2 linked regions of the Saccharomyces cerevisiae S288C genome follow. The protein of the gene in region 1 interacts with the protein of each later gene in a pairwise test. Each region holds a gene or a part of one and is shown in the gene's direction. Other genes may lie near its edges.

Region 1 (5,409 bases):
TGACCCTCGTGGTAACATTAAAGTGATGTTTGCCACCAATAGGCCCAACACTTTAGATCCAGCTTTATTGAGACCCGGTAGAATTGATCGTAAGGTAGAGTTTTCATTACCTGACTTGGAAGGTCGTGCAAATATCTTCCGTATTCACTCTAAATCAATGAGTGTGGAACGTGGCATCAGATGGGAACTTATCTCCAGACTGTGTCCAAACTCTACCGGTGCAGAATTAAGATCTGTTTGCACAGAAGCCGGTATGTTTGCCATTAGAGCAAGAAGAAAGGTGGCTACTGAAAAGGATTTCCTGAAGGCTGTTGATAAAGTTATTAGCGGATACAAGAAGTTTAGTTCCACATCGCGTTATATGCAATATAATTGACGTCAATGTACTTTTTTATTATATATTATGAGAAGGGTTAATAAAAACAACAAGTACAACTACAACTATCGAGATAAAAAGGATACGAGAGTATCCCCTCAAATAGAGAAAGAATTAGCGTATATAATGCTAAAGAAAATTCACGTTTATTATATATTATTATCCTCATTATTACTGTTACTATTATTATTAAATGTTTTATTGAAGTCAGTGGCGTCCTTATCTATCATTCCCACCAACTAACGAGTCCCATGCCATCAGTTTGACAACTACCTAATAGGGCATATGCTGGAGGTTTTTCGTTTTGAGGAGTTTCTTCATTCTTACCCTCAATCTCATTCTCTAATTGAGCTCTTTCCTCCAATTCTCGTTCTTTGGGTGATTTTGGCTTCACATCAACAAAAACTTCTCTTTCGATTCTGAATCTAATTTTTTCATTTACATCGAAATATAGTTTCGTCTCTTCATCCATGGGCCAAATCCATGCACTTTCTTCAGGGGTATAATAGCACCCTTCGAATAACATATTTTGTGGGATAAAAATGTCATCAAATATACCTAACAGTGAAACTTTTATGCCTTCTGCTGTACATTTAGAAATCCATCCAGTTACTATCTCACCTAGAAACGGTTTGAAAACAACGGCTCGAAATGTAACGTTAATATAGGATGATCCATCGCCTGGCTTCAATTGGCCTTCCTCGACGGTTAATAAGTCGTAAATCGTAATACATAGACCGACATTGGGAATAATCTTGTTGGCGAACTTATTATTTAACTGATGTGTGATTGCCGATATTGTATCGCGATGGAATTGATCGGGCGGGATTCGTACCAAGTCAGCGATTTTTGAAAGGATAAACATATTACCTTGTTCAATGAATTTTCTAATTTAAATAGTACTACAGAATGTCTTTATACTACCCGATAGTTTCTTCCGAATAACGCTTCTTGCGTCTATTTCTGCACATGGCTTGAATATTCGTTATTATGATACGAAATTAACTAATCCGTATAACGCGACTGAAAATTTGTCAAATAAAAATTTTAAGCGATGAGCATCGCCTGAATATTATGAGCATCTAAATCAGGGTTCTTACCGAATCCTACGAGCAACCAGTATAGTATTTCAAAGACTTTAAGGGGAATATAAAAAGCACGAAGATGTCGAAGAAATTTAGCTCTAAAAACTCCCAAAGGTACGTGGTGGTACACAGACCCCATGATGATCCTTCATTTTATGATACAGATGCCTCTGCGCACGTTTTGGTTCCTGTCTCCAATCCAAATAAAACTTCTCCAGAAGCAGATCTTCGAAAAAAAGACGTGAGTTCAACAAAACCAAAGGGTAGGAGGGCTCATGTGGGAGAAGCAGCTTTATATGGTATTAATTTTGATGATTCTGAATACGATTATACTCAACATTTGAAGCCAATAGGTCTCGACCCTGAAAACTCCATCTTTATAGCATCCAAAGGCAATGAACAGAAGGTCGAAAAAAAAAACATTGAAGATTTATTCATCGAACCTAAGTATAGACGTGATGAAATTGAGAAGGATGACGCGCTACCTGTGTTTCAAAGAGGGATGGCAAAGCCAGAATATTTACTACACCAACAAGATACCACCGATGAAATTAGAGGTTTCAAACCTGATATGAATCCTGCATTAAGAGAGGTGCTTGAAGCTTTAGAAGATGAAGCATATGTTGTTAATGATGATGTTGTGGTTGAAGACATCAGCAAAAAGACACAACTTCAAGGCGATAACTATGGAGAAGAAGAAAAGGAAGATGACATTTTCGCACAATTACTAGGGAGCGGTGAAGCAAAAGATGAAGACGAATTCGAGGATGAGTTTGATGAGTGGGATATTGATAATGTAGAAAATTTTGAAGATGAAAACTACGTTAAGGAAATGGCGCAATTTGATAACATCGAAAACCTGGAGGACTTGGAAAATATCGATTATCAAGCTGATGTTCGAAGATTTCAAAAAGATAACTCTATACTAGAAAAGCATAACTCGGATGATGAATTTTCTAATGCAGGTTTAGACAGTGTAAATCCCTCTGAAGAGGAAGATGTGCTGGGCGAATTGCCCTCTATCCAAGACAAAAGCAAGACGGGGAAGAAGAAAAGAAAGAGCCGTCAAAAAAAGGGTGCCATGTCAGATGTATCTGGATTTTCCATGAGTTCAAGTGCCATTGCGCGTACAGAGACGATGACAGTACTGGATGATCAGTACGATCAAATCATCAATGGTTACGAAAATTATGAGGAAGAACTAGAAGAGGACGAAGAACAAAATTACCAACCATTTGACATGTCAGCAGAAAGATCTGATTTTGAGTCAATGCTTGATGACTTTTTGGACAATTACGAACTGGAGAGTGGTGGCCGTAAACTGGCTAAGAAAGATAAAGAAATTGAAAGGCTGAAGGAAGCTGCTGATGAAGTAAGCAAAGGTAAACTGTCTCAGAGAAGAAATCGTGAAAGGCAAGAGAAAAAGAAACTTGAGAAGGTCACCAATACACTAAGCAGCTTAAAATTTTAGAGGAGTAGAATGAGATGAGAAAGCACCTACATTACAAGTACTGTGTAGACATGTATACTTAGCCTAGAATGCATTGATGCTAAAATACATCCTGCCCACCGGGTAATAATTATGAAACGCGGCGGTGCTCTTTGTGGATTTCGGAGAAAGGGGGTGGAGGAAGGAGGTCGATTTTCATTATTCAAATATTGTTTTAGTATAAAGAAAACCGGCGTGCATTGCTTCAAAGAGCCGTTCAAATTAGTAACCGTTTGAGATATCTTGTCTTACTACTCGTATTCCGCAGATAAAGTACATTTTAAGAAAGGAAGTAAATACACATAAATAAATAGCAGGAAGAAAATGTCTAACGAAATTGAATTACTGCAGAAGCAAGTCTCTGAATTACAAGACTTAGTGAAGAAGCAAAGTCTGATTATCTCTAAGACAGGAGAGCGTGTGCTGGAATTGCAGTTAGATAAACAAAAGCACGACGTAACTGATTTTGATTCGAAATTCTCTAAATCTATCTCGAAGAAATCAGGATCCGCTACTCAATTCGATGCCACTGATTTTGCCACAAATGAAGATCTAGTGGAATTAGTCAAAGAACTACAGGGTGAGCTAAATTTCATCGAGGAAAGGTCTATCAGAAGACTTGTTAACTCTTTGAAAAAAGATGATGATGACGTTATAGCGCCACTGCCTAATGCAGATGGTGATATTCCTGCTATTTCAGACGGAGTGTTCCCTAAGTCGTTGAAAGAATTTAAAGACATCCCAGACTTAAAACTGGTAAGACTTGCTAAATTCTACGAAAGATTGCCACCAACTCTAAAGGAACAAGAAGATTTTGAAAACTTCCTGGAAGGTAAGGTGGAAGCCTTTCACATTAATGAGACCACTGATGAAGAGATTTCTAAGGAGTTGGAAAAGTTCTCCAAAGATGAGCTAGATGATGCATTTAATGATGTTGCCCGCTATCTAGGTCTCTCCCTTAGAAGAGGAACCGAAATATGGTAAACAGAAAATGAAAAAAAATGAAAAATCAATGAATAAGAGGGCTTGAGTTCCAGGTTCTAGAAATTTCCCTCACTTATATATATATATATATCTATATACATATAGTTTTGAGTATATCATAACAGGATTCTCTTTCAATGAAACCTATGTTTTCCGCGGCATTGCAGTTAAAGGATGTTCTAGTGGTGAAAAAGAGAAGAAAAGAATTCAAAGTTTTCCTCCCATAAGTATACCTATACTTTTTATCTGTGATTGAAAGCTGTATACCAACAGCCTTCTATATATTACCTTGTATACCATTCAGTAGTCTTAAGCATCATCTAACTTTTGACCAGGTCCATTCTGATTGGCTGCGGTAGCCCGCTCCGTTTTCCGCTCTAAGCGTTTGGTACTTGTATAAATGTGCACTGGCATTATGATATCGAGATCCCCGCATAGAAATCTCAGGACCAACCAAAAATTGCCAATCACAAGCTCTAAGAATAATAAACGATGTCTGCAATGATGGTCAAGTTAGGACTGAATAAGTCGGCTCTATTACTGAAACCCTCCGCCTTTTCAAGAGCAGCTGCCTTGAGCTCCTCGAGGAGGCTGCTTTTTAATACAGCTAGAACAAACTTCCTTTCTACCTCACCATTGAAGAATGTGGCCAGTGAAATGAACACCAAAGCGGCAATTGCTGAAGAACAAATATTAAACAAGCAAAGAGCAAAGAGACCTATTTCTCCACATCTGACCATTTACCAGCCACAATTAACTTGGTACCTGTCTTCTCTTCACCGTATTTCGTTGGTGCTTATGGGACTAGGTTTCTACTTGTTTACTATACTCTTCGGAGTCTCTGGTTTATTAGGTCTTGGATTGACTACCGAAAAGGTTTCTAATTGGTACCATCAGAAGTTTTCCAAGATTACCGAATGGTCCATCAAGGGTTCCTTTGCTTACTTATTTGCAATTCACTATGGTGGCGCCATTAGACACTTGATCTGGGATACCGCTAAGGAATTGACATTGAAAGGCGTTTACAGAACTGGTTACGCTCTCATTGGTTTCACCGCCGTTCTCGGTACTTATTTATTAACTTTATGATTCTTTAAGGCGACGCACCTGTTTCTACACACAAATATATATATAGCCAATTTTATATATACGTTCCTATATATGACCCAATACCGCACTTATTTATTCTTTAAGATCTTTATAACCCAAAATGCCGATTAACACAAACCTATATTTACTAGGGGCACATTTTTTATTTTTTTGCCTTTCTGTAAAATACAATAGAGAAAATAAAGGAACAAACAAGAGGAAAAACAGGAAAAGATAGCGCAAGAGTAATCATATTCAACAAAATATCAGTGATTTTTTACAGATATCAAGATAATTTCTTTCCGGATACTTATTGAAGCTATTATTTGTTACTGGCAAGAAAAAGCAAACATAGGCGGTCATTTTTCTTTTGTATAAAGTAAATA
Region 2 (5,571 bases), on another chromosome or scaffold:
TCTATTTCTGTATCACTGGCCTTAGCTATGGCCTACTTGGGGGGGTTAATAGGATCTAATGACTTGGAAAAGCTGTCAGAAAACGATAAGCATATAGTGAATCAATGGGCCTTCATAGGTGAAAAGTGTATTCACGGTACCCCTTCAGGAATAGATAACGCTGTGGCCACTTATGGTAATGCCCTGCTATTTGAAAAAGACTCACATAATGGAACAATAAACACAAACAATTTTAAGTTCTTAGATGATTTCCCAGCCATTCCAATGATCCTAACCTATACTAGAATTCCAAGGTCTACAAAAGATCTTGTTGCTCGCGTTCGTGTGTTGGTCACCGAGAAATTTCCTGAAGTTATGAAGCCAATTCTAGATGCCATGGGTGAATGTGCCCTACAAGGCTTAGAGATCATGACTAAGTTAAGTAAATGTAAAGGCACCGATGACGAGGCTGTAGAAACTAATAATGAACTGTATGAACAACTATTGGAATTGATAAGAATAAATCATGGACTGCTTGTCTCAATCGGTGTTTCTCATCCTGGATTAGAACTTATTAAAAATCTGAGCGATGATTTGAGAATTGGCTCCACAAAACTTACCGGTGCTGGTGGCGGCGGTTGCTCTTTGACTTTGTTACGAAGAGACATTACTCAAGAGCAAATTGACAGCTTCAAAAAGAAATTGCAAGATGATTTTAGTTACGAGACATTTGAAACAGACTTGGGTGGGACTGGCTGCTGTTTGTTAAGCGCAAAAAATTTGAATAAAGATCTTAAAATCAAATCCCTAGTATTCCAATTATTTGAAAATAAAACTACCACAAAGCAACAAATTGACGATCTATTATTGCCAGGAAACACGAATTTACCATGGACTTCATAAGCTAATTTGCGATAGGCATTATTTATTAGTTGTTTTTAATCTTAACTGTGTATGAAGTTTTATGTAATAAAGATAGAAAGAGAAACAAAAAAAAATTTTTCGTAGTATCAATTCAGCTTTCGAAGACAGAATGAAATTTAAGCAGACCATAGTATCCTTGATACATTGACTCATAATCAGTTAAATAGCCATTCAATCCCTTTGAGCTATCAACTTCATATTCCTCCACAAGGTCCTTCCACCCGCGAATTTTACGCAGCCGACTTAATTCATCTCCTGTAAATTGGACCAAGGGTTTGGTGCCATACTTTAATGGACCTACATTGACCCAATGCAGCTCTTTACAGTATTTCTTTAGTGCTTCAATACTGGATAGATATTCAAACATATTTTCCGCGGTATCTATGAAATATGCGCTACAAATGATAATTTTATCATAGTCTTTGGAAATGGGAGAATATCGTGTGAAGTCCCCCCATAGTGGGTCCAGATTACTGCGGTGGCCAACTTTGCTCAAATCTGCCGATAAACTTCTCAACTGATTATCAAACACTGTCTGGCATGAATATTGTTGTACAAAAGGACGTATCTTAACGTCATGCTTATATTCGAGTGCAAATAGGTTACATATGTACATCAAGGCTGATAATTCGATGGAGTCCACCTGTATTTTGGGGAAAGTGGTGGCAAGAGTATGGGATAGGCCACCCACACCAGCCCCTGGGGTCACGATAAGAATTTTCTCTTTCATGTCCCCGGCACTAATCACATGATGGTTGATTCTACTAATGATAAAATTTTGTAAAGGATCTCTTTCCACACTATAGTAAGAGCTGAAATCACGACACAAATGTGCTAATGCTTCATGGACCACACTTTGGCTGCCTCGAGACGAAACTATTGGAAATACGAAGTCAGGATTCAATTGAATAAGGTGACCATCTTTAATCTTATAGCCGTGTTCCGCGCATATCTTTTCAATTTCCTCTGTAAATTCTTCATCGTGTTCGTTGGAATGAATCAATTTCCCTAAAGTGAACTCAATTATCTTGTCAATAACTCTTGCGTTTTCTCGGATACCCTCATTATTTTTCATTAATTTGGTGAAGTAGCCTAATTTTTGCAACTGATCTTCTGAAATTCCATTTAATTGTCTTGCTCTCCGAAATAAAAGGCCATTATAGCCTTCTCCTCTTGCTCGATACTCATGTAAACGGATTAAATTCCCCGTAAGATCAGGAAGAGTGGGAATCTGATAATTAATTTTAGAAAGATTCGATTGATCGGCAGATATTGATTTCTCAACATCAACCAATTTTAAGGAGGGCGATAAAACGCTGACTTTTTGGGCCAGATTTGATTTTCTTGATAATAGCTTTTCAACATATGATACAAACCACCTCTGCAACGGCTTATTTTGCCTTAGCAGTGTCATCAGGACTACCACAAGGGCTAGAATTATATTTGATGCCAGTGAGCTAACCATTGGCGCTCCTCAACTTCGTATATCAATATTTTTACCTCTTCTATTTCCTGAAAAATTTGTTAATTGTACAGCATCGTTTACGTTTTTTTTTTTTTACGGGTCTTCTTACCTAACCCCGAAAAGTATTGTGGATCTTAAAAGGGTCTCAATTATTTGAAGTTCGATAAAAACCAACTACTTTGTTATTTTAAAACTGTATTATACAAACGCTGGTAAACTTCCAGAGACGATATGCGTCTAAAAGAATTGTTACCTAATTTTTTGATTGTTCATCAAGAGGTCCCTGAGGATCCTATTGCATTCAAGTCCACCGATAAACGAGAGAATGAAAATAAAGAGATCACCATCCCTGAGCTAATAGATACTAAAGTTCCTGAATTAGCTGACGGTGCTACTGACACTTTATATGGTTTACTGGTCAATGGCCATTTACAAACTGCATATGGTTCCTTTAGACACTTTGACAATATATACAAAGTTCAATATAAAAGAATGATAATCAAATACCCACATGGGGGAGAAGGGACTGTGGATTTTGCTGTAAATGGTAGAAGTACCAAAAGAAGAAAAGTGGAAAAAGAATACGTGCCGACAAGTCAACCGGTATTTAACGGAAACTTGAAACGAAGATATTCGTACTATTCCCCTGATGATCCTAAATTGAACTCAGACGATGCTAAGCCTATGCTTATTATTCTCCATGGATTAACAGGGGGTTCGAGGGAAAGCTACGTGAGGGCAATTGTTCATGAAATCACCACGAAGTATGACTTTGAAGCATGCGTGTTTAATGCTAGAGGATGTTGTTATTCTGCAATTACAACGCCGCTATTATACAACGGTGGTTGGACCAATGATATAAGATATTGTGTTAATGACTTGAGGAAAAGATTTCCGAATAGAAAGTTTTATATGATGGGATTTTCGTTAGGCGCATCTATAATGACAAATTACTTGGGAGAAGAGTCAGATCGTACTAAAATCGAATGTGCTATTTCCGTGAGTAATCCATTTGACCTGTACAACTCTGCATATTTTATTAACAGTACACCAATGGGGTCACGATTTTATTCACCTGCTTTGGGTCACAACTTACTACGCATGGTTCGAAACCATCTCTCTACTCTGGAAGAAAACCCTGATTTCAAAGATGTTATCGAGAAGCATTTAAAAAAGATTCGCACTGTGAGGCAATTTGATAACTTGTTGACAGGCCCAATGTTTGGATATAAAAATGCAGAGGAGTATTACAAGAATGCTTCATCATATAAAAGAATACCCGGGATCAGAACTCCTTTTATAGCTTTGCATGCTCAGGATGACCCAATTGTCGGAGGTGATCTTCCTATAGACCAAATAAAATCCAATCCATACACTTTGCTTCTAGAAACTTCGACGGGGGGGCATGTTGGATGGTTCAAAGACAGATCCGGCAGAAGGTGGTACGCAGAACCCTTATGCAGATTTTTGAAAATATTTCACGACGAAATTACTGTAAAGGGCTTAAAACCTGACTTGGAAAATGTTCAACTCCCAGATCCTAATTGCGAACCCATAGCCACAACCTTTCGCGCGAATTAGTTTGTAAATAAGTCAACTTTTTAGATGTGTAACCTGATAATTTTTTTTTTTGATGTTCGACATCATTATTTCTGAATGAAAACGTGAAAAGCTTCGCCAAACTTAAAATGGAAAATTTCGAATGGAACAAAATATAATCGATGCGATGAATTAAAACCTTGGAAGAAGAGGGTTAATTGTTAAAATTACATATATAATTGGCAGACAAGAATAAAAAATGCATGAAGTAGTAACGATATCGGTTTCGCAGAGAGCAAACCATTTGACTACTCAATTCTTCAATATACAAGAGGGCTATTTACAATTGTCTAAAGAACAACAAGTCAATGACTCCAAAATTTTTCTGAATTCGGTTGTAGATAAAGTTTCAAAAACAATTTCATATGCACCACGTGCCTTACTTTGGGATGCCCGTACAGGTAATGGTTCACTAGGAACATATCAATATTCAGAAAGCCAAGACTATCATTTCGGCAATGAAGACAAATTCAAGGAGCAAACAGTTATAAAGACTCATCCAAGAATACCTAAATCCGAATATCAGAGTTCTCTAGATGCAGGAGCACCGCTGCCTTGTTTGAACAGAGAAAATACGATGTATTGGTCTGACTATTCTAAACTTATCTATGGTCCTTCAAGTTTCAATATTTTGAGAAATTGGTACCATGACACTGAAAATCCAAACCAACCTGACTTTCAAAACTTGGGGGAGCGAAAGTTTGACAGGTATTCCATTGGTTATGACGAATTTACCGAAAATTACTTGCAAGAGTTTTTTGATGGAAATTTGCATAGAGAATTGGAAAAATGTGACACCCTGCAAGGCTTCAATCTTGTAAGTGATATGGAGAGTGGATGGGGCGGGTTTTCTAGTGCTCTACTGGTGGAATTAAGGAATGAATTACCTAAAAAGGCGGTCTTTTCATGGGGACACAATGAAGATGATCCATTCACAGATGACTTCCCTATGAAAAGACTTTCAAAGAAATGGCTCCCGATCATTTCGAACAAATTAAGAAGCACAATAAATATGATGCAAGAATCCGATCTTTACTTCCCATTGTATGCTGCTCCTGGACTAACTAATTGGGAAACTGCTGGAAAGAGCTGTAGGATATTTGATTCTATAAATGCGACAATTTCCCAAAGCAATCTTGAACAAAGAAAGACAATGGATTATCTAACAACTGCCATTACCTTAGGATATTCGTCGCGAAATATGGTCACTGGCATGGTTATCGGTGACACCGATTACTCATTCTGTTCTCGAGTACTTCCTTTCAAGAATAGCCACAAACCAAATTCTACTCACATATTTTCAAAAAGTTTCATTGATAGAGGAAATCAAACGCATAAACATCATTCCGAACCTGATTCACGGAGTAAGATGATTGAAATGTATACACACAGGTATTTTCCATCTGATACGATACCGACAGAATTTTCCAATGATCGTGAATTTGTTTTGGAATTAGAATCATCTGAAAAAAATCGAGATATATTCAAACATTGGAATGAGTTTGTGGTAAGGTACTTCAAAAATGATAGTGACAGAGAAGAATTGAAAAATGAACTTTCCGATTACGCCTCAGCGTACGAATCTGGGTGGTATGAAGACGAAG

The links. The genes of interacting proteins can lie anywhere in the genome.
Region 2: the proteins of MRP8 (region 1) and MGL2 interact in a two-hybrid assay, tested with the Saccharomyces cerevisiae proteins (2 studies listed by BioGRID).

Annotation. Positions count from the first base shown.
Region 1 is NC_001143.9:175,241-180,649, forward strand, and holds MRP8 (Mrp8p), read left to right. Parts: upstream 1-3,274; coding exon 3,275-3,934; downstream 3,935-5,409. Other genes in the region: proteasome regulatory particle base subunit RPT1, read left to right, coding at 1-376; DNA-directed RNA polymerase III subunit RPC25, read right to left, coding at 603-1,241; ribosome biogenesis protein LTV1, read left to right, coding at 1,541-2,932; succinate dehydrogenase cytochrome b subunit SDH3, read left to right, coding at 4,427-5,023.
Region 2 is NC_001145.3:684,917-690,487, forward strand, and holds MGL2 (putative carboxylic ester hydrolase), read left to right. Parts: upstream 1-2,599; coding exon 2,600-3,949; downstream 3,950-5,571. Other genes in the region: ERG12 (mevalonate kinase), read left to right, coding at 1-882; YMR209C (uncharacterized protein), read right to left, coding at 995-2,368; DML1 (Dml1p), read left to right, coding at 4,167-5,571. UniProt on the Saccharomyces cerevisiae protein: Converts monoacylglycerides (MAG) to free fatty acids and glycerol. Has a preference for palmitoyl-MAG. Does not play a significant role in ethyl ester biosynthesis. Also possesses ester hydrolase and low but persistent TAG lipase activity.